Linked DNA regions of Drosophila melanogaster. The protein of the gene in region 4 interacts with the protein of the main gene of each other region in a pairwise test. Each region holds a gene or a part of one and is shown on either strand. Other genes may lie near its edges.

The links.
Region 1: the proteins of Doc2 (region 4) and Scr interact in a protein complementation assay, tested with the Drosophila melanogaster proteins (one study listed by BioGRID).
Region 2: the proteins of Doc2 (region 4) and C15 interact in a two-hybrid assay, tested with the Drosophila melanogaster proteins (2 studies listed by BioGRID).
Region 3: the proteins of Doc2 (region 4) and Antp interact in a protein complementation assay, tested with the Drosophila melanogaster proteins (one study listed by BioGRID).

What each region holds. Positions count from the first base shown.
Region 1 is NT_033777.3:6,846,975-6,851,790, reverse strand, and holds the start of Scr (Sex combs reduced), read left to right. Parts: upstream 1-1,809; 5' UTR 1,810-2,246; intron 2,247-3,285; exon of another isoform or gene 3,286-3,875; intron 3,876-4,816. UniProt on the Drosophila melanogaster protein: Sequence-specific transcription factor which is part of a developmental regulatory system that provides cells with specific positional identities on the anterior-posterior axis.
Region 2 is NT_033777.3:21,498,011-21,502,996, forward strand, and holds the start of C15 (C15), read left to right. Parts: upstream 1-1,975; 5' UTR 1,976-2,247; coding exon 2,248-2,420; intron 2,421-4,243; coding exon 4,244-4,659; intron 4,660-4,986.
Region 3 is NT_033777.3:6,996,216-7,001,050, forward strand, and holds the start of Antp (antennapedia), read right to left. Parts: upstream 3,014-4,835; 5' UTR 1,991-3,013; intron 1-1,990. UniProt on the Drosophila melanogaster protein: Sequence-specific transcription factor which is part of a developmental regulatory system that regulates segmental identity in the mesothorax. Provides cells with specific positional identities on the anterior-posterior axis.
Region 4 is NT_037436.4:9,013,226-9,021,269, reverse strand, and holds the start of Doc2 (Dorsocross2), read left to right. Parts: upstream 1-2,023; 5' UTR 2,024-2,378; coding exon 2,379-2,469; intron 2,470-3,184; coding exon 3,185-3,341; intron 3,342-6,294; coding exon 6,295-6,562; intron 6,563-6,640; coding exon 6,641-6,778; intron 6,779-7,648; coding exon 7,649-8,044.

The DNA.
Region 1 (4,816 bases), on a different chromosome or scaffold from region 4:
AAAGTTACCATAAGTGCGTTACATAAGTTACAAAGTTTTTCTTTGTGTTTTTTCTATGTCCAGATTTAATTCAAAAATTCCAACTTCGCGTTACGCGCTGTTTTCTTTAACTAAAAACAAAATACAAACGCTGCTGATTGTTTCATATTAAAAATTGAGCGTGTGTGTGCGAGGGGCAACATTTACAATCGGAGGCAACATGCAAGCGATGATGAAAAATCGCCTGCAACATGTTGGATGCTGCTGGGGACCCTCCATGGATCTAGAATGGAATGGGATCCGAGAGGATGCTATGCTATGCTATGGATTGGGATACGAGAGTCTGGCGCTGGCTGCCCGCTGGCATCGCCAACATCAACTCCAATTACAGAAGTACACGCAGGCGTCTCTCTTATGATTTTTTTTTTTTAGTTTTTCATTTATTTTCCATCATTTGTTTTTTTCTATACTTTTATATGGTTTGTGGATGATGCGGGCCAACCATAAAGAGCTGACATGTGTGTTTCAAAAACACAGCGGAAAACATATGGCAAAAAATACGACTTCTATAAGAAGAACAAATCGAATTGGTACATAAACTTAAGCTATAAATTCCGAAATACGTACTTACAAAATTTATTTATATTTTAATAAACATATTTTCGAAAGAATTGCTGATTTCGCGTTTCGGGTTTCGAAAGTAACCGTTCAGTACCACTTAAAAAAACACTTTTATTACAAGTTCGTATCAAATAAACGTATTAAGTTTATACGTTTTTAAATAAGATAATTTTTAAGACACTCACTATAAATACTTATTAAAACAAACTTTTGCTTTTGCAATATATTACGAATGACCTATGCCATTTATCTGTATTTGGTATATGTTTGTGGTTTCGCAACATAAACGTTAGATTCCAAAAATAAAAATAAAAAAAATAATCTCATTCAAAATCGATTTTGGGTGTGTCTTAACCAGCAACTCATTTTTATGATAAAAAATAGCTAATCAACATTTAAATCTCCGAGACAAACTAATCAATTGAATTCAAATTCAAATGACGCCAAAATCAAACCATATGTGTGTTCAGCTCTGAATGCGATGCTGGATTGTTGGTAGCAAATATGAAATCGACTTTTAATTAAGGCATTTAGCCAAACAAATCAAAATCGTTAAGCCCCGATGCTGAATGAATCATGAGAACTTGAACTTGGCTACGGCCCAAAGAGAACCCGATCCGCAGCCCCGAAACAGACCGATAAATTTAAATTCAGAGACAACTGCCAACGAGCTCGTTTTAAAGGAGGAATAACTTAAGCTTCAGCAGGAGACTTTGCATTTTGCCAGGCCAATAAAAATGGAAATGAACGCGGAGCGGAACGTTTATAAAATAATAATGCGAAATAATAATGTGGCGGTGATTTAGCGGAACAGTGCCACGATTGAATACAAATAAAGTGGGGGAGACGCCTAATCTAGGATGATTTCGGCCTAATCTGGAGCGTGAACCGGGGGCAGATGTGTCCTGGAGTGGCTGCCAACTACCTGTTTTTTCTCGCTTTTCTCGTATTTCTCGCTTTTCTCGAGAGCGCGCTTTTCCCCAAATCGAGGGAAAAGCTGGAGCGCCATAGGCCGGTTGCCGTGGCACCCTCGTCGCATAAATCAAGACTGGGGGCGGAGTCTGCCGTGGGTGCAAGTGGGACAGCAGGATTTTCGAAAATGCGCACTGTCCGTCCTCTCTCTCGCACTCGTTGGCCGGGTCCTCAAATGATTTACAGTGTTCGAAACGCACACAAGGCAACGCACGAGAGGGTCGTTTTGTCGGTTTTTATGGCTCAAACGTGAATTGAACGTGGCGCACTTCAGTCGCCAAGCAGCGCGCTCGGTCTTCTGCAAACATAAAAAGATACAGATACACGTTCTCGTATTCGTACGCGTAGCAATCCGCGAAGTTTCCGCTTGAAAGCCAGTCTTGCGATTCCATGGAAAGCTCTTTGGCGACGGCAAGGTGCCATGGTCTCCCCATAGCGGATACTTTACCGACTAACTCCTTTACATAGGAGCGGAATTACCTACCCACCTCAAATAATTTCTCAAACTGCTCATCTTCGCAAATAACTAAGATAGCAAAGTGCAGTGCAAAAGGCAAATACAATTAATACGAAAATAAAAAGTATACAGTGAAGTGCTGGCTAAGAAAACTAATTGAATTACAACGACTTGTTCGTAGCGTCTGATTGGATTTCCCCAAATCGTCCACATAAAGGTAAGAAAATAACAAACGTAGAAAAACTAAACTCTGAATGTAAGAAGAAAATTTAAGAAAGTTTTGCCCTTAAAGGTTTAAATGAAACCATCGATATATCGTTAAATGGTTCCTTTTAACCTTTCTAAACTTTTCCACTCAAATCATTCTGAATTAAAACTGCACTGTGGTGTGGAGGATTGAATATTTTAGAGTCAATTTAACAAACAATAAATATTGTAGAATACAAAAAAGGTGTCAATTGTAAAAAATCAATATAATATATATATATATATTTTTTATAAATATATATTATTTTAGCAAGTTCAGAAATCCAATTACTTTACTTCTTTGCAATACCTCCAAATGTTATATAAACTAACTGCACACTTAACTAAAAAAAAATATATGAACAACATTAAAAATATATATTAAATCTTCAGAGACAGATTTTACTTCTCCAAACTCCCAAAATGAGTCCCAGAGTCTTGATTTTATCCCAACTAGCCCAAAGTACGGAGTTCGAATGTTTATGATTTGGTCCCCCGAAATCGATCTCACACGGACAGTGTCGGTGAGAACAATAAGACTTTAGTCGCAGTTCGAAACATGATTTTCGAACTACCGAGTAACGATCTCTCTCAATAAGAACTTGTTCGAAACACGCGAGAGCGGTGCTTTTCGAACTACCGCTCTTTCGAACTCACACACACACACACCGATGTGTCGTATTCGTATCCGTGAGATACAATTTGTGGGAACGAATTTCTGGTTTGGCGGTTGATTCGAAACGTTCTTCGCGTCCGCAAAGGTAGTTTCAGCACATGCCTGAGAGCGAGCGAGATGGCGGAGCGGCGCAATGCCCGTTGTCTCTCTCGCACACTTTTCGAATAATGAACACTGCACTTGGACGACGATATGTAGCTGTATAGCCATATAGCCTTACTTGCTCGTACTCGCAGATACAATTGGACGGGGGAAATGGAGCAGTATGAGTGAGCCAGAGCGCTGGCGTATCTGTGTTTTTTATTGATGCTCAGAAATTTGAATTATGCCCGAGCAGTCAAAGTGAGACATTGGCGCTTCGAGCACGTATCCGCGGATACACCGGAATAACAGAAAAAAAAGCACAAATAAAAAAACTCAAACAATCCAACACTCAGCTGTTCCGCGTGTAAAGACCCTCGAATACTGTTCGATTTTAGCGAAAGATGGATGGACTGCAAAGTGCTTGCATCGATGCTGGCGCTGATGGACAGTCATAAATTCGGCGTGAAATTCGCGCAGATACTTAGATACTCCGTCATAGCGCATATACTTATCGTGATCTGTAACAAATTGCGCGTGTGCTTGTGTGTTTGTGATACCAAAAGCCGTCCAAATCCGTCGCTTAGCCCTTTGCGGCCAATTACCCATTAGAACCATCCAAAACATAAGCCTGCAGGTAGGACGCAAAAGTCTAGCCAGTTTGCCCTCAGGATGCCATCGGATTAATTTCCCAGATATCCGGCTGGTTGTGACAATTCTACCTTCGTAATTGTGCACGTTGATTTCCGCACTCAGCACAAGTGAAAATCGTGGTTCAGTGCAGTGAAAATCAGAAAACAAACTCACTTGAACGGAGGTGAACGCCGTCGGCTAACTAAAATTGTGAGTAAACGAGTTTAACGGCTGAAAATATTTTAAGCGCTTTGGAACAGGTGAAAACAGTCATGGAAAGGATATTTATTCGTTGTCAGTTTTTGTTTTGTATTTTCTAGTGTTTTTTTTTTTGATGTGTTAAGAACTTATGTAGCAATATTTGGTCTAAAGCAATTTAATTATAGTTTTTTCTTAACAATTTGATGCGATTTTATTTATCAAATAATATTTACAATAAAAAAGTGCTTTGTTCGTATGTACATATTTTTTTAAGTAACAATATTTCTACCACCTTAAATTTTATTTTTAATCTTACAATCTTTATCTTGTACTTTGACTTTCTTATTGAAGAAATAATACCAACACTAGTAAGTTAAAAAAAAATAAGAAATTTTTAATTTCTTTAATAAATCAATTTAATATTCTTTGAAGAAATCATCAAAGGTGCGTAATAATTTCCCCTGTTTGCTTCTTAAGACACTCCATATCAAATAATATAATTTGAAAAAATCAATGAAATATATTTTGATACCTAGTAACCGAACCCAGAAAATACATTTTATATATTTCCCTATATCGGGGCTTTGTTTCTGTATTCTGTTTAAGCAATTTTTCATAAGGTTGCGTGTGCGGTATCAACGCAAGGAATTTTCACTTCATTAAAGCGAAATGCAGCCGCTTTTGAAATAATTAAGAGGCACAAAGGCGAAATGTCACAGCGAATGAAAAATGCCTAACAAGCGCCGCATATAGAAGGTTAATCCAGACACATAGCGTTATATACCGAGCCCAAGCTGGGATAGGGATGAAGAAATGCCCACGATATAGGCTTGGCTACTATCCGGGGAACTCGAACTCATGCTGGCCAAGACGCCATGGGGCGAACATGAAATTATGTAAAATAAAAGAAGACGCACTGGGCTGGAACTTCATGGGACTTTGCCAATGAC
Region 2 (4,986 bases), on a different chromosome or scaffold from region 4:
TATTACGGCAATTGTTTCTGCGTTGTTTCTGCCCAAATGAAATCCAATTAGCCGACTACAAGGCCTACCAACCAACGACTGCCAGCAGCAGCAGCAAAACAGCAACAATGACATTGCGAGGCGGTACGAAGAGAAATGGAGTTCGCCTCGTGACTTTTTCCAGAGTCCTTTCCACTGCCAAGTGGTGTGCGTGTGCTTTTGTGTGCCTTGCCAATTGAATATGCAGTAATTGCCTTTCTTCATTTTTGGCCATGATTTTTTGCTCGTGTCTGACACAGAAACATGGCCAGTTAAGTGCAGAAATGAATATTTATAGTCGTTACTTCTAGGATCGGACTCCGTTTAAATGCAAAGTGAACGGTTTGATTCTGCAGCCCACTCTCAAGAAAAATTGAATAATAATCAAATTATGAATAATGATATTATAAAGATAGGTAAAGATATGTAGATATAATTAACTAACATAATTTAACATTGAACAAAAAGCTGCATATGCAGCTTAAAACCAGTGATCAATATGTACATACATTGGCACTCTTTTAAATCACAGAATAGTATTTGTGAGGTACAATATAAGACCTTAAAGCAAATCATGTTTAAGAGTAACCAAACTGTGCAAGTAGAGATATAGTAACCCTTTATTATGAAATATAGATATAATTATCCTCTGACCAGTAGCGAATCTCCTAAGCGTAGTAATGCATTATCCAAGTTATCGCAAATAGGATTTGGGATTTTCATAACATTGCCTTATTCTGAAGGGGTTCACATTCCACATCTCGACTCAGCTATCTCAGCTAATGAAAACGGAGTACGCAATCGCTTCTGGCCACACACACGCATTCCATCCAGGCCGGCTAGAACAACACCTGAAACTGAGACTAAGACTAGGACCGAGATCCCGGCCAGCGATGAGCAGTAACATGGCTCGTGCCCAAGAAAAACTGTCAATTAACCCGTGGGGTGAACTTGTGGAAAATGCCAGAGCTGCTGCATCCACTGCATGCCGCGCAATTTGCATTCGCATGGCCGGGGCAAATGGATTGGATTCCTGTGGCTTCAGCTCGAGTCTGCTTATCGCAATCGCCGCCTGCCAAATGCCAGGCGATAGCGCGTAGAACTCTTGGCGCTAATAAAGATCTCAGTAGTAAGCGGTGTGAGGTGGTGAGGGGTGACATTAGGCGGTGGTGCAGGGCAGCCCTCCTGGCCAAATCCGCTGCTTTGTGAACTCAAGCTGACAGAACGCTATTTCCAATTGTGCTATTAATCTGCCACATTTGCACTTCCGCGGAAAAGAGTCGGCGGGCGGATGTGATCTCTTTCGCTCGTCAGTTGGCTGACTCGCTCTGCAGGGGTGATTTGCGGGCGAGCGAGTGAGACAGAGCGAGGCAGAGTGGTAACGCTTGGCTAACCTGAAAATAGAAACAATCGAAATAAAAATACATTCTCTTCATGCTCTCGTCTAATAAAAAACCCCAAAAGCAAAACGTTTTCCATTTAAAATGTCGTCGCAACTGCCAGCGGGAAGTGGACGTCGAGAGTGGCAAGTGTGTGGGGCAAACTCCGGCCAGCGGCCAATGGCGGTTGGCCGAGGCCACGCCCCGTGGCTCAATTACCGACCAGTGCTGCCCATCGGCGGGCAGAGCGAAACCTGTTTCCACGAGCGAGAGGCAGTCAGGCGCATGTGCGATCAGAGCGGGATGGATGGCTCAAGGGTGGACCAACCAGAAGAGGCAGGTTGCTGGTATTATGGTAGGTTAGGTTCAAACAAGGTGGCAAACTGGCTCTTAACCGAAATAGGAAGGAAGTCGGCAGCGGCGTCGACGTCGGGCAACTGGTTTGACTTGTTTCCGGCTCACTCCAACAGCCCAAACCCACCAGCAATCGGCAGAGGCAGCCAAGTCGGCAGAGGGCAGGCAGAGCAGCGGCCGTCGGCACAATTTGATTGCATTTATGAAAAGCGTTTTCGCCCGCTAGCACGCGTCCGCTCCCAGCTCGCAATTCGCCATCCGTAATCCGTAAACTTTAATCCGTAGACCGTAATCCGTGAATCCAAAGCAGTTCTCAGTTGGAATTTCCCGCAACGGGTAGTGCTTAAGCGCGGAAACTGAATTGAAATCAATCGGACGATTAGTGTGTGCTTCGCGGTTGAAACACTCTACATCTAACTATTAAGAGAAAAGAGTGCCCAATAAGATTCGAAAAGTGCAGTGAGCGAGCTCCAAATTGGCGCCACTAATTGCCAAAATGTCCAGCCACGAGGAGGATGACCATGAGCACGAGAACGAGCACGGCGAAGAGGTGGAGGAACAGGAGATCCACGTGGATGTGGACTCGGACTCGCGGATGTCATGTGGCAGCGGATCCGATGTGGATATGGACGGCGGCAGCTGCTACGACGAGTCCGAAACGCCATTGAGGTGAGAAGGAGAGCTTTTAAATAGAACCAGGAAGTAGGAAAAATGTCCCAAAAATATAGATATTATCAGTATAGATATACCATAAATAAGCAGATCTTCCAATTACAATAAGACTTCTACATATACATACATATATTATTTTTTTAACTAGATTGTGATAAAATGCTTTGGCTTCCGTACTACTTACTTAAAACTGAAGAGGCCTTTTTTTTTAAAATTCATTTTGGTAAATATTTTTCAAATATGAATAACGTCTGAATTTATGTACGTTGCAAAATCGAACAATAAAAAATATTTTTGGTTTAATTGTATCGTAAATAATCTGCTACACTAAACTTGAAAAGAGATTGCATCTCTATTAATAATAATAATGGCTTTACTTTCAAATTATACGATGTACAAACATAATAATTGGTCTGAAACAATTCATTACGGAAAATCCCCAAAAAAAATATATTAAAGAAAAAGCTCAGTTTTTCGTTTACTCTTGATGGTTATGATCATCATGCAAATTAATAAATATTTTTTTGTAAGTACTGGGCTTGATTTAGTTGGCCACATTATTCGTTAATTACTCATAAGTCAAAATTTAGATCGACAGCAATTTGATCGACTAACTGAGAGAAAAAGATCTATAAGCTATAGTTATAATAGTTGGCATACAGTCTTATTTTATTGCCCTATAAAAGTCAAACAAGTATTGTGGCGGAGAAAAGCTATTTGCATTTGTTATTACGAGCTCATAACTCCCACTGTTTTACGATCTTTAACATTGTCACTCATAATGCTCACAAATCCTATTTTTCGAATCGTGGCTCAACGCCATTGAAATGCGTTGATGTTTAAGCCCCATTGTCCGCTCTTACAAATGGTCCCATTTTCCAGCGACAAAAGGGGATAACAAGATGCCAGAGCATCCAGCAGACCGTGTTAACTGATCCCATTCAAGCGTTTGTGCGCTTAGAAGAACAGTGTGAACAAACCTCTTAAACGCTAATGAATTGACCACAAAGCCACCAAAAGAATCAAGTCGAAATGTCCCATAAAGTGCCAAAGAAACTCCCTGAATTTACATAGTTCACGGATGGCCAGGGTTTCCAATAGACGACGACGATAAAACGCACATTAGTAAGGCGCCAAAAACGGGCTGTGATAAGACATTGGGGTCCATTTGGGGCTCAATCTGGAGTTGGATCTTCGGCTTGAATGCCGGACAAAGACGAAATCGTTTGTCGGATTAACATTTTAATAGAGATCGTCATAAAAATGCCATAAAACCCGCGTTCCAGCGAATGTAGATCACCAGATAGCAGCAAGTTTTGGCCAGTGAAATAATATGTGTTTGCTCATAACTTTTGATATTGGAAAGTGTCTGTGTGTCGGTGGTTGGCGATTTGAGATCATTGTTCCGATACAATTCCATTCCTGTTCCAAATGGGTTTTTACTTTTTGGATTTATAAATTAAATGCCGTGCGTGACTTGTTTTCGGTGCGTCAGTTGATGGCATTTGATGATTTATGGGCGCGTATTAAATGCCTCTAACGGCCGTCAGCATTTGCATAATTACTTCATTTCCAGCCGCATTGCGTATACGCAGCGGTGGCCACACGGGTTCTGCATGTCATGTCGTCAACTCGGCTTATCCGCTCGCGTGGGCTTTTGGTTAGTGGTTCCGAGACTGGTACGCACTGCAACAGACTTAATTATAGTCAATGTTCTCAGGCTTTCCCGCTTATCGGGCGACACATTTTAATGAGCCCGCACCTCCAGAGGGCTTCTTTCCCTTCGATTCTGATGTCTTTTCTCCGGTTTTTATTCCCAGCGAGTCCCTGCAGTCGGAGCAGACGCGCTCCTCGTCCAGTGAGAATCTGCCCTTCAGCATATCACGCCTGCTATCCAAGCCCTTCGAGACGAGTCACCACCACCACAACAACAACAACCACCTGCTCAGCAGCAGTCCGGGCTCCAGCAGCAACAACAACAACAGCGGCGAAAAGGGCGAGGAGAAGGAGCTACTGCAGCAGGAGGACCACGACCTGGCCTATAAGCTGGCCACCAGCATCGCCAACTCGACATACGGAAGCGCCGCAGCACTATACTCGTATCCGCATCTCTATCCCTCAGCGGCCGGCGGTCATGTGCTACGTGTACCGCCCCAGAGAACGCCGCTCACCTGGGCACTACCGCCACTGCATCACGCGGCGCTGGCACATCAGGCGGTCAAGGATCGGTTGGCAGGTGAGTGAATAGCAGCGAAGTCAAGAGGGTTTGCCAAATCCAACCCATTCGGGGCCCCCATGTCGGGATGGCCCATGTTCGCCGAGATCTTTCGGGGGAGCGATCCTCCAATGACCCGCGGTGGCAATTGCTACTGTTCCCCAAATAAGCACGATCAGAGAAGACTTTTAAGGCAACATGCCTATCGGCATGTCATTGTTGGCCAACACATTCGTGCACCAAGAGAAAATGTGGCATTTGAAATAAAAGAATTGGTAACATTAAGAATAAAAATGTTATATATGTGCCTACATAACGCGTAGTTGGATGCATTCAATTGTGCAATAG
Region 3 (4,835 bases), on a different chromosome or scaffold from region 4:
CCATCTATCAATGGGGGCTTAAATATAATTTTAATTTCAAAGGCAAGTCAAACAAGTTTTCTTTGTGGTGGTCGGCTGTTTTCGTTGAAGCTTTTTGTTGGATTCGTTTTATTAACAACAATTTCGTTTACTTTTGTTGCTAAGTTTTGGGCTTTCGGCCGAATCTCAGAGGTCGTGATTAATGTTTTTACAAAAGAGTTGTCGCCATTGGTGTGCTGATGTATAAATCTTTTTGCTGCTTTGCCATGAGTGTGAACTTGATTAAGAATCCGTTTAAAAGGAAGTGGTTGCTCATGTATAAGGGTCTAAATATGTTAGTAAAGAATTGTAGGACTTAAACAAAAATAGTCTAGGGAAATGTGCGTTTTCATACAAATTTTGAATATTTTCCCCCCATTTCTCCCAATTGCATCGGTGTTTTTTCTGTCTGTCACTCGGCCATAAATCATAAAAGTTTTTGCCGGGCAAACAGAACGGAGTTTATGATTTTGTCAGCTGTGTAACATTTCCAGCTGATAAAATCAATAAATTATGAGAAAATAATTTCATTTGATGCCATCTATTTGATTTTGCAAAAATCGAAGCTGGCAAAAATGCAAATGGAAATGTGTTAACGATAAGCAGGCTGAAAGTAAAAGCCAGGATAAGTTCATTAAAGCCCTTTTGGACAGATCGCTAGAGATACTTTCCAAATTATGGAACAGATTTTTAAATGTTTATTAAATTACGAATAAATTCCGCACCTCTGTGGGGCGCAAGTGCAATGAGAGAGCGGGAATGGAGAAAGAGAGAAAGGTAAAAGGTAGCGAGCGACAGACAGAGAGGACGACAAATATGCAAAGGCCAGACAACTAGGACAACAACAAAATCAGCAACAACAAGGACAATGCACTGCAACAATGGCCGCATAAATTTTCTATGCGGAGAACCCGAGAGTGTCCTGTTCGTCCAACTATGTGCGTGTGTGTGTGTGTGTGTATGAATGTGTTTGCGTGTGTGTCTGAGAGAGAAATGGCTGCCCTTTCCCACCATTCGGAAGTGAAACTATGTTGCCCAGGATATGCGCAATAATTCAAAAACGAATTCCAAGTTCAAAGAGCCCATTACTCGTGGCCAGTTAAGTTCGGAGCTCCGTTTTCAGTTTTCCAGCTTCAACTCCCGGGATTCCTGAAAGCATCCCACCACCCCTCCTCCCACTTTGCAAATTTATGCAAATGGCTAATAAGCCTGTCAACAGTTTGCAGTTTGCAGGCCAAATGAGTGATGACCTGGCTGTAGCTTCCGAAAAACGCCCTTTGAGTTATGAAGTGTTGAATCTGAGTTCGGGCAAAAAACTTATACCTTGCCCACTGCACATCGAGAAACAGATGCGCTATTCTTTGTACAGAGTCATTAATGTCAAAACTTCCACATATTTAGACAAGTATTTGGAAATGTATAAAGTTTCCGTCGGCATATACATAGACTGATATTCTAATCCATGTAAGCTTCATTGAAATGATTGATTTTATTCAAACATTTAATGGACAGCTAATAGTAACATAATATACTTATGTCAACCATTTTTTCAAAAATAATGTTAAGAGAACCTCACAATCATTTTTGTTTAAAAATTATATATAATTTTTAGTGACAATCGAATAATTCTTTGACGGTATGCATAGATGACATTACATTACATGTACAATTACCTTTGCAATTATTTAACAATATTGATTTTTTACTACAATTTAAAGTTAAGATTTTTTCTTCACTTTCAGTTACGATTATTATTAAATTGAATATTTGAAATAGTTTGGATAGGCAGAAATAACATAAAATTTGTAGTAAAATATAATTATAATCAATTTAAGCATTGTTTTCAAAACGCATTAACCATTTTTGTGAATAAAGACATTTTAATCCCAATTGGCCAATAAAAGAAACATATAACCATTTTGATTTCAGTGAAGAAGGTGAGGAAATTGAAAAGTCGAGCCCTGGCACTTACCTCTTAAATCCAATAACGTGCGCTTATCCTTCAATCCTGCTGGCTTTTGGAATTCTCAGCTAACGGTAGCTTGCACGTGCGCCAAAATAAAAAGTTTGCCCGCAGTGGAATCGAAACTTTTTCCGCTCCTTATTCTTTTCCGTTTTATGTATTTTGTTTTTTATTATTTATTTTTTTTTTGTGTTATTTTGGCTGTCTACGTTTTATTTCTGTTGAATTTGTTGTGGTTTGAGTTGAAAGCTTCAGCTTTTGTTTGTTGCTAGTGTGTAGATATTGCTCGATTTACGGGGGACTAGAAAACGTTGTTGTACAGATTCGAGTTTTCGGTGCACGATGCGTTTTTAAGAATAGATAAACACTTAGGTAGTAGGATTTGGCTTGATAAATTTGAACTCTAGCTCATTTGCAGCACAGTCAGCCCAGATCCATTAGTAGTATTGCACAATATGTGGATGAATTTTAATTTGAATCCAGACACCTGCCAGACACTCGAACATCATAAAAAGAAACGCGCGCGAAGTTCAATTCCAATTTCTCTGACGGTGTTTTTGTTTGCTGTTTATGCGATGGCGCCTGCGATTACAATTACGATTACGGTTACGATTACGGTTATTATTATAATAATGGGTTTATGACGATCTGCGCCATGCGATGGACAGTGTGCGACTGATTGCGGTTCTAATTTTTTACGATTATTGTTATGATTATTTTTACGGCCTTTATGATCTTAGCGGGCTGACAATTGGGATAAGAGAGCGGTCGCGACGACGGAGAGCGAGCGAATACGAATGCGAATAGTTCAGTTCAGTTTAGTTCAGTTCAGTTCAGCTCCGAGAGCCCAGCCCCAAGATATTGGCCGCTATAGCGACTACGGAATACGGGGCACCGAATACCGTTATGCTGCTGGGATCCCTCTCGCACACACACACATACAGTCGCACGTGGGCTAAGTCAACGGAACACGGACGGGTCCTCGAGTGCTTTGTTGTGTGATGTTGATTTCTTTACGACTCCTATCAAACTAAACCCATAAAGCATTCAATTCAAAGCATATACATGTGAAAATCCCAGCGAGAACTCCTTATTAATCCAGCGCAGTCGGCGGCGGCGGCGCGCAGTCAGCGGTGGCAGCGCAGTATATAAATAAAGTCTTATAAGAAACTCGTGAGCGAAAGAGAGCGTTTTATTTATGTGCGTCAGCGTCGGCCGCAACAGCGCCGTCAGCACTGGCAGCGACTGCGACCGCGACAGAGGTCCGATTCTGCTTCTGCTCCGGTCATAAAGTATTTTGCAAAAGAACCGTTCTGCTCTCGTTGCCATTTTGAGTGACTGAGAGAGCTGAGCGAGTGGGAGCAGCGAATTGGCGCCTGACTTGAGTTGACCGGCTTGAGTTGCCGGCCCGAGCTCGCTGAGCTGCAAACTGTAGTCAGTCTTCAAAAGAAGATCTTATGATGCACATCCAGTTATTTTCGATTATTCAGTTCCCAGATTTATTTTGGTTGGTATATTTGATTTCACTTTTTTATTAGGTTTTTAAGAAATTTGTTTCATTCATTTTGGTTTATTAAATACAATTTTTTGCAAGGTTCAATTTTAAGTTTCTTTCTCTTAAGTGCTCTTTTCAGTTTCTCTAAAATCGAAACTATTTAAAATTCGATTGTCTGGGCATTATCGAGTAGTTTCTACTTTTATTTCGAAGAGCGATTACTATATCTTTATAACTTAATATCTTTATACCTTTTTAACCATTCTTCTGGACTATATGGTCAATCAATTCATTTGCTTTTAATTTCTTAAAATAGCGTAACGATGTGAAAGATGTGTACATCTTCAGTTTACTTGTTTTTAAATTTTTGCGGTCAAATCTACCATTTTGTGGGAGACCACCTTCTATAAAATCAATTAAAATAATTGTACAATTTACAAATACGGTTCTCTAAAGGCCTTGTGTTGACTTTTTAGTTTTTAAAGTATCAATCCGTCGATTACTTCAGACTGAATCATTAATTTACAAACTCATTTATTTATTTATTTTACCAGTGAAAATAATCTAAAATAGGGTTTTGCAATGGAAAGGTCGAAAGTTTCTGTTTGCCTATTATGTAAAATAATTGTAAATTGTTATGCTGCTTAAGTACTTATAAGAGTAAAAAACGTTTTTGATTTCGATTGTCTCGATTTTTTATCTTTTTTAGATGTTCTTAATTAACGCTTATAGATATGGTATATAAACGTATAAACGTATCTTTTAATAATTATTTTTGTAAATATACCACAACCATACATAATTAACAGTTTTGTATAGCAAATGTGATTTGCCCGATGAAGTCATATCTAGACGTTTTGATATCTCATTATCGGCTAACATTCGATAATCGGGAGAATGATGGCCGCCGTGAATTATGGAACCCGGAATACGGTACTTGGAACCGGGGAGTATGGCATCCAAACATCCACTTGCCGACGGCAAAACCATCATGGCCGAGTTTATATCGAAGCGCGCCAACAACAAATCACATGCACGCACACATGCAGGCCATCACTCACACGCACACAATCACAATTCAGCATCGCTCTCACTCTCTCTCTTTCTCCTACGCTCTCGCTCTCCCACAGCTGTTGTGGAGCGGAAAAAGAACAACAACACAAGTTGGCCGAATTTTTGCAGCCGCTGCTTCTGCTTGCGGCGCTGCCAGCGTCGTAAACAGGGAGGAGTCCGCCACAGACGCACACTCATAAAGCATTCTCAGAGACCGCACACACACAAGCGCGGCACACAAACGCACAAGATGGATGGCGGCGCAGGCAGAGAGCGAGAGTGCGAGCGAGAGGGGCAGACGCGGGT
Region 4 (8,044 bases):
AAATTCCTTTGACTATGTGTCATAGATAAGACCATCTATCTGAACTCAATGAAATTTTTGCTTAATTTGCTTCTCCATACTTTGATGACTGAAACCCATGCAAAACGAACTAACTGCAGGTATTTTAATTATTGCAAACACTACTTGCTCAACTAGCAGTTCTTCGAGTGCATCATTTGCTACCTGTTGGCCCATTTATCCGGAACCGAACGGAAGTAAACCGAAATGCATTAGTCAGACAGCAGGCACAGGGGCAGCACCAATTAGCTGGGTGCTGACAAATTGCACAGCTATTGGCATGGTCTGAAAGGGCAGACCCTTTAGAGGCTCTACAGGATCGATGTCTAATGGTTTGACGAACGTAGTCGAGCTGAAAGACGGCAGAACGGAAAACGCAACCGGAAATGAGCGCGACCAAATGTGAAAACGCGAGGCATAAATTATGGTCAGACGGCGCATACATTCATACGTGGCCAGAACGCAATTTGGGCGAAATGGCCTGCTAATAGTAAATTAATTTCAGACGCTTATCGCCGCCAACTGTGGCTATGGCCATATCCATAGGAAAATAATGCGTGGATGTGTCAGGCCAGCAAAGTGCTGTGTAAATTAGCTCGGCTAACTACATATTTACCCATCGAGAGCCTCAGGAATTTCGCAGTAATGCTGTTCAGATAAGCCAAGCGATTGTCTTAAACTTGAAAGGAAGTGGCACTGGAGGCAAACACGAGACTAGTCGTTGGCAAAAAAAAAAAAAAGAAAACAACACATTAAAAACCGAGCACGTTTCGCCATCGTCGGCCCACATGGCGTATGCTTAACTTCAGTCAAAGTTCAGACCACCTCATTGGGCCTTAATTAGTTTCGAATTTGTTAGCAAGCAGCTCCGACACGCGTTTCCGTCGTTTGAAACAAATGTTTTGCCAAGCTCTCTAAAAGGTCAGATCCACAAACAGTGATCACCTGCATCGCCGGCAATATCTGTAGACTAGACTATAGCCTATAGATATTCGTGTACCAGCAAGTGGAGACGCCATATCGGGCCTTTGGATGCCGCCATATCAATGCCTGAATGACGCAGCGTCAAAGTCGAAATAACATATAATTACACAGAGAAAACTGCATTAAAGTGTTATTCGTTTAATTAAAAAGTAAAGATTATTGTATAATGGGCCCCAATATATTAATTAATTAAACTATTTACCAATTCTTCTCTACTGATAAACTCTAAAATGTGTATAAAAAAAAACTATTGCAACGATGACCAAGCAATTTCATCCAACATCAATCCGCCAACAGGTAAACAAGGTACTTTAAAGTAAGTGATTGGAACTTTTACTGATACTTAGATCAATATCTTATACAATACGCTGCCAAACACACCAAGAGTAAATATTTTTCAATAAAAAACCATCAAATTGCTGTTCAAACAGCATCAATAAATTCTTTTCTCTGTAGTGCGCCGGGTAAAATGTAATAAATGATCAGCAAAACGACAAACACACACGGCTTGGAGAGGCCAGACAAGAGGACCACCATGATGGTGATGGTGATGGCAGCGGCTACAAATGGGCAAAGCATAAATACACAAAAAGATGCCAAAAAGCGGAGACGGAGAAAAAACAATTTCAATCATCATGATCATAATTAAAAGGCAGCCAGCCAGCGCACACACACATAGCGAATGGACCCAGAAGCAACATGTTGCTGCTCCTCCGCTGACTGTGCAACTTCGCACTTCAGAATTAAACGCAATTAGAGCGAGCTGGCACAATGTGAAGAGAGAGAGAGAGAGAGAGTGATAGTCAGCGCTTCGTGGGCGGAGCCATGGCATCTGGAAAATCGAGAGGATTTTTCAAAATGGAGGTGCCAAACCAGAGCGGGACGGCTAGCTCCCGCACTCCGTACACTGCCACAGCCAATCGATGGTGAGCAGCAGGTAATCTCGATCAATGGCTCAAGACGGAAACGAGTCAAGCTCGTTCCATTCAGCTCGATCGAGAGATCGCTCTGCCAGCGGAACTTGCTCAGTTGAAATGCGAACTTGGCGAGCTCAAGACACGACCGTCGCCCAAAGATACAAAAAATTCTCTCAATATATTTGTGGTAAAATAATAACCCACGTACGCGACACCGGGCCTAATCAAATTAACACCCACGCACATGAGAGACTTTTGTGTGCCGTGATTTGCATAATTGACGCTAATCGGCGGCGTCTCGTGCTCGGCTAAAAAGTAAACCCGGGCTCCAAAAAAATAGACACCGCCATATGTTGTGACAGTGCTTTTTGTGTGCTGGGGAACAATTGTGCAAGTGACAAACGCCAAACAAAGAAGTTTCGGGCAAAGATTTAGTACTATTTTTGGACCCAACACATCATGATCACCATGAACGAGCTGGTGGATCTGCGCATGCAGCAGCACATAGCACACGAGATCTATCGCCAGCAGATCATGCAGCGCATACCAGGTAAACTGCTTGCCCCCTTCATATCACTCATCCGCCCCGTTACGCGTGCGGCAAAGCTGTTAGCCATCATTAGCATTAATGGTCGTAACTTTTGGCAAACTGCTTTTGTTTCTGTTACTGTCTCAGCCCACCAAAGTTGGCCAAGATCAGCGGGGTGTGTGCGAGTAGCGGTGTTTATGGCCAGCGGATCATAAAGCTGAGTAATGTGGGAAAGTGATCGCCGATCGAGAAACTTGATATCAAATGCATTTTTCTTGTTGCCGACGGTCGTTAAATTTCGGGATCAGCGTACCCCTAAAACAAAATCGTTGTTTGCCAAAGTATCGCTCCTTATTTTGTGGATACCAGATGGAGGGCATTAAGTTTGGTAATCGGGAAAGAATCGGTGTTCCTCGTTCGCCAAATAAGCGTTTTTATATAACCCCATGTTTGTTCGTTTGTTTTTATGACAAATATGTCAGTCATCATATGGATTTATGCCGTAAGATCTCTTTGGATAAGTCAGAAATGTCACACTTTAATTCAGACCCACGCTCTTAAACTAATGGCGACTATTAAGTTATTTGAATGGGTTTCATTTTAGCCAAATACCATGTTAATATGTTTACATAATTTCAATAATTCTTAATTTTCTTTGTTGAAGACTAAGTAGTTTGTTAGATTGCTTGAGCTTTTGTTAACCTATAAGCCCCCTATTGATTATTGTTCTTTTCAGATCCGTTTCCGCCGATGCTGCCAATTCCGATGCCACGGCACGTGATCATGCCACCTCGAGTCACGTTGCCCGGCGTGGAGATGACCCTGCAGAACGACGATCTATGGAAGCAGTTCCATCAAATTGGCACGGAAATGATCATCACCAAGAGTGGCAGGTAGGTTTAGAACAGAGAGAAAAGATCTTTGATGATGAAAATGATGAAAAACCAAGAGTGGGGGAATCTCGAGATATACAGACTTTAGAGATCGGGAACAAACATAGATGTAGCGATGCATTAGCACGAACATGAAAACTAATACCCCAGACGCAGGGCAAAGAATAATAAACCAGCCAACGGGCGCGGGCACTTAAAGCACCCTATAACGATCCCTAGCCCGATCCCTGGCCCGATCCCGATTCCGATCCGATTCAGTAGAGTCCAGCGAGGATGTGCTGCTGTTAAAGGCTCATTAGATGCAGGCGCCTGCAAATTGTTTACAGCGGCGTCGCGACAACGATTTTCACAGGCAAACAAGGCGGAAGGATGCACTTACGTCGGCAGGATGTGAAAATCGAAAATTGAAAATTGAAAATCGGGAAATGGAAAAGCGGTTGCAGGTTCAGCCAAAATTGATGCGCACTGGACATCGGCTATCGCACGAGGCGTAAAGCGAACAAGTTCGCCGGCACTTTGCGTGCTCAGATCGTAGATAGTACGAATCAAAGGCATAGCGCGATCGCCCGGAGCTAATTTATCGTGTATCTATGAGTATCAGATCAGATGCACGACTACTTGCACAAAGGCGACTACCTAAAAGTGTCCGGCACTTGTTCGAATGTGCGTAAAGTGGCGTCATCGTAATTTATTGTAGACCGACCAACTGGACCGATCGGGCGAGCGCCGAGCTCAGTGGGACGTCCTGTCGGTTCGTCGGCGCTCCTTTATGCCTCGCCTGGCATAAATCTTCGCGTCAAGGATACTTTGTCGTCATCTTTGTAGCTCTTAGCGTTTTTATTGTGGCGCCTGTCTGCGCAGCGAACAACCTGCGGCCCCGAAATATCTTCGCGTTCTGCATTCTATAAGATGCTCGTACATATCTGTATCTTTTGGCAGTGACAGTGACCACAGCTTGTCGACAGATACGAGCAATTTCACACTTGCCCTCAGTTCGAGCCGATCAAAAAGGGTTCCCAAACGCATTAACATAAACTTTTGGTCTCGAAATGCATTGAATGAATACACTTCGAGCCACGAACAACCCTTTTGTTTTATATATGCCATGAATTATTCATATAGTCTGCGTATTAAATACTTTTTATGCTCATCAAAAATGTTTTATGGGCATCGGTGGAGAGGTCGCGATGCAATCGATTTGAATTTTTAATGATTAGGCGCCAGAGTGCCACCGTCTGTCCAATCGCATCCCAATCCCCGTTTCATTTCCCATACGGATACGATCCCAAGTCCAAAACCTATGCCTATGCCAAGTGGCGCTCATAAAAACTAATTAGTTGCTTGTCTGGGCTCCGCTTGCCACTTGAACCGTTCCATCTTTTTGGGTGGTAAAAGCGCAGACGGCCATTAAAGTTAGATAGAACAAACCGTATCGCTTAATGTCTGATACTGGCGGCAAATGAAATGACTTTGTCACGATGCTTTTAGACTGTGTGGGCTCCTCCACTCACCAAGAGAGGCGGTAAACAGAAGCGACACGGTAACTTCGATGAGAAGCGCAAATATACCCAGAATTTTCAATTGGATTCAAACTTTTAGTTGCAGAAAGAAAAAAAGAAAATATTTTACCCTTTCTCTAATAAGAAATGTTATTCCTAGTAGACTCATTCAAAACTGGCTTACGATCTGAAGAGTTCAAAATTTATGTCGTTTGCTTCCAGTTTTATAGCTGTCAATTAATAAATAGTCTCACTCTTAATTTCCTAAATATGCTAATTCTGGGAATATCAAGCAGCTATTTATATGGAATTGTAGGGTAAACATTGGAGTGAGCTCTGGATATTTCCAGAGTACCCTTCGGGAGTCCGAGATCCGATGCTCCGTCGCATTCCTGGCTTGTGTCCCTGCACCTGCGAAGCGTCAAGCGCCAAGTCGAATGCCGTCAAGTGGTCAGCATGCTCCTTACTCGCAGTAGAAAATTCCACTGGTAATTATGCGCAGACGCGCCAAAGATATCGATCTTAACAAATCGTTTGTCCAAATCCAGACAGCGGACTCTTGCCAAAAAAATAAAGAAAAAAAAAAACAATAAACAAAAACTGAGAGCAAGCAAATTGAAAATGAAATTCTAAACCGCACAAATGTCGAAATATTTCGGTGCCGTGCTCTAATGGAATTCAACGGAGCTGAAAAGGCAGACCCGAAGCCAGAATCAAATTAAATGTTAGCAAACCGAGGCTCTGTGGATTTCAATTAATTAATCATCGGTTGAGGGAAACACGAAATCATTGCCAAAAACAAGAAACCATTCGAGGATGAGGACGCTGTTGAGGATGAGGACGAAGGGCAAACATTTTTCGGCCAGGCGCCAAGTGCCGTGACCACCTGCTGTTCCTGCGGCAGCGACTTGGAGTTGAAGGCGAGGGTCAGGGCCTCGCATCCTTGTTAGCACAGGGAAAACGGCCCCTACTCCACCGGGCAATCTCTATTTGACCAGTCCTAATTACATGGCGCATGGAAGGGAAATCTCACAATTAAATATTTGTAACGCCCACGCTGGAACCGGGAATGGGCTCCTTTTGTCGTTCTAGCATGACTATATTTGAGTTTGTTCGGTAAACAAAGGCTCTAAGGTTTTCCAGGCGTTTTCCTGGACTTCCCCCGCTCATCTGACACAGAGGAAAATGTTGTAGGAAAGCAGTATACCAACGATTTGGTAATATTTATAAGGGAAATATCTGTAAGATAACTCTCATGTCTAATATGGTATATACAAAAGGTTATGCTAGGTTTTATAACAACTTTGAAATTAGCCATTTATCAAATAGTAAAATATACCATATAATTATGATATTAAAGTCTTATTTGTATTAATAATATAATGAAAAATGATTTTGTCTTATATAATAAGAGACTGATTAAACTAATAAGATGCTTTTCCTTTCCCCTAAAGACGCATGTTCCCCTCGATGCGACTAAGTGTTTCCGGCTTGGAGGACGAGAGCAACTATTGCGTGCTCCTCGAGATGGTACCCATTGGCGACTGCCGCTACAAGTTCTCCGGCTCCCAGTGGGTTCCAGCCGGAGGAGCCGAGCCGCAAAGTCCCCAGCGGATGTACCTGCATCCGGACAGTCCGGCCACCGGTGCCCATTGGCAGGCGCAGCCCATACTGTTCAATAAGGTCAAGTTGACCAATAACACGCTGGATAACAGCGGCCATGTAAGTGCGGCCAGGGCTTTGAAGTCGTCTCCAGTTACTAATCCAAGTCCAAACCCCTTTCGCCATCCCCATTCGCAGATTGTCCTGGCCAGCATGCACAAGTATCAGCCGCGTCTGCACGTCATACGCACCGCTGATCTGGCGCAGATTCCCTGGGCCCCACAACAGGCCTTTGTGTTCGCCGAGACGGAGTTCGTGGCCGTGACAGCCTACCAGGTAAGTGGTGTGCCATCCCCATCCCTACTCCGTTTACCCTCTCAATGGGCGCCATCATTTTGGTAATGAGTCTAGCTCAATGTCTAATTAGTACTCTCAAATAAAATATATATCTTTGCCACACGATGAGAATCCCTTCTAGTTCAAAATCACCTCATGGTATCCTATCTTTGATTAATTCACATGTTATTCACAGACTTATCCAAGGTTGTCTAAAATCGCACTATTAGGTATTTAACAAAAATGTTTCGTCCAAGAGTATTCGAGTCATGTGTCCTCGAAGTTAGCCTTCCTACTTGTGTGTGCATTTTTTTTTTTGCCAATTCATTGAGCAAAGAGACTGGAAACGATCACACTAATTGGTTAATTTTGGGCAAACGAGCGGCGATCGCTCACGCCGTGGGTAGCTTGGTCAACGTCTCGAATTAGCATGGAACGCCTCCGTGGATCGTGTAGTTGGTGGGCAGGGCAGGCAGAAAGTCAGCGGGTCGGATTGTTGTTTTAGGAAGTTGGATAGCCACATCCTTGTAAATTTGAGCGCCTCGCTGTGTTTTTGTCTAGGTCTAGGCCCATTGACAGCCGACGCCAGTCTGCCTCTAATTAGCAAGATCGCCGAGAGATCGGAGATTCGGTTTGAGAAAGATCCGAAAGATCACAATGTTGTCAAGTCATCTGGAGTGGAACTGAGCACCGAGAACTGGAAACGCAGTCTGGTGTCAAGTGGCCATGTTACTTAACGCCAGCTACTGGACGCCAGTGACTTATGTGATGAGTCTTCTTCTCCTTCTCCATCTCCATCTCCCCGTTGCCCAAGATTATGCTGGCGGCAATCGTCATATTTCACGCTCGTCTTGTTGCCTTCTTCCGCAGAACGATCGCATCACCAAGCTGAAGATCGACAACAATCCGTTTGCCAAGGGCTTCCGCGAAACGGGACAATCGCGCTGCAAACGCAAGATGTCTTCATCGCCAACGGGCGAGGATCAAGATCAGTCGCCGTCACTATCCCATTCTCAGTCCCAATCCGAGTCTGACATGTCGCCAACGAAAGGAGGCGGTGAGACAGCCGGAGGAACATCGTCGATCGGCGATTCGGATGGTCCGCAAATCAAGCGCCTGAGATCAAATGGCTCAGCCTGCTCCTTATCATCATCGCTGGACGATCAGTCGGTGCCTGGCGCCAGTTCTTTGGCCCTGGGCTCTCCACCGCCCCATCTACATTCGCATTCGCATCCGCATCCCCTCCAGGCGAGGAGTGCCTCCAGC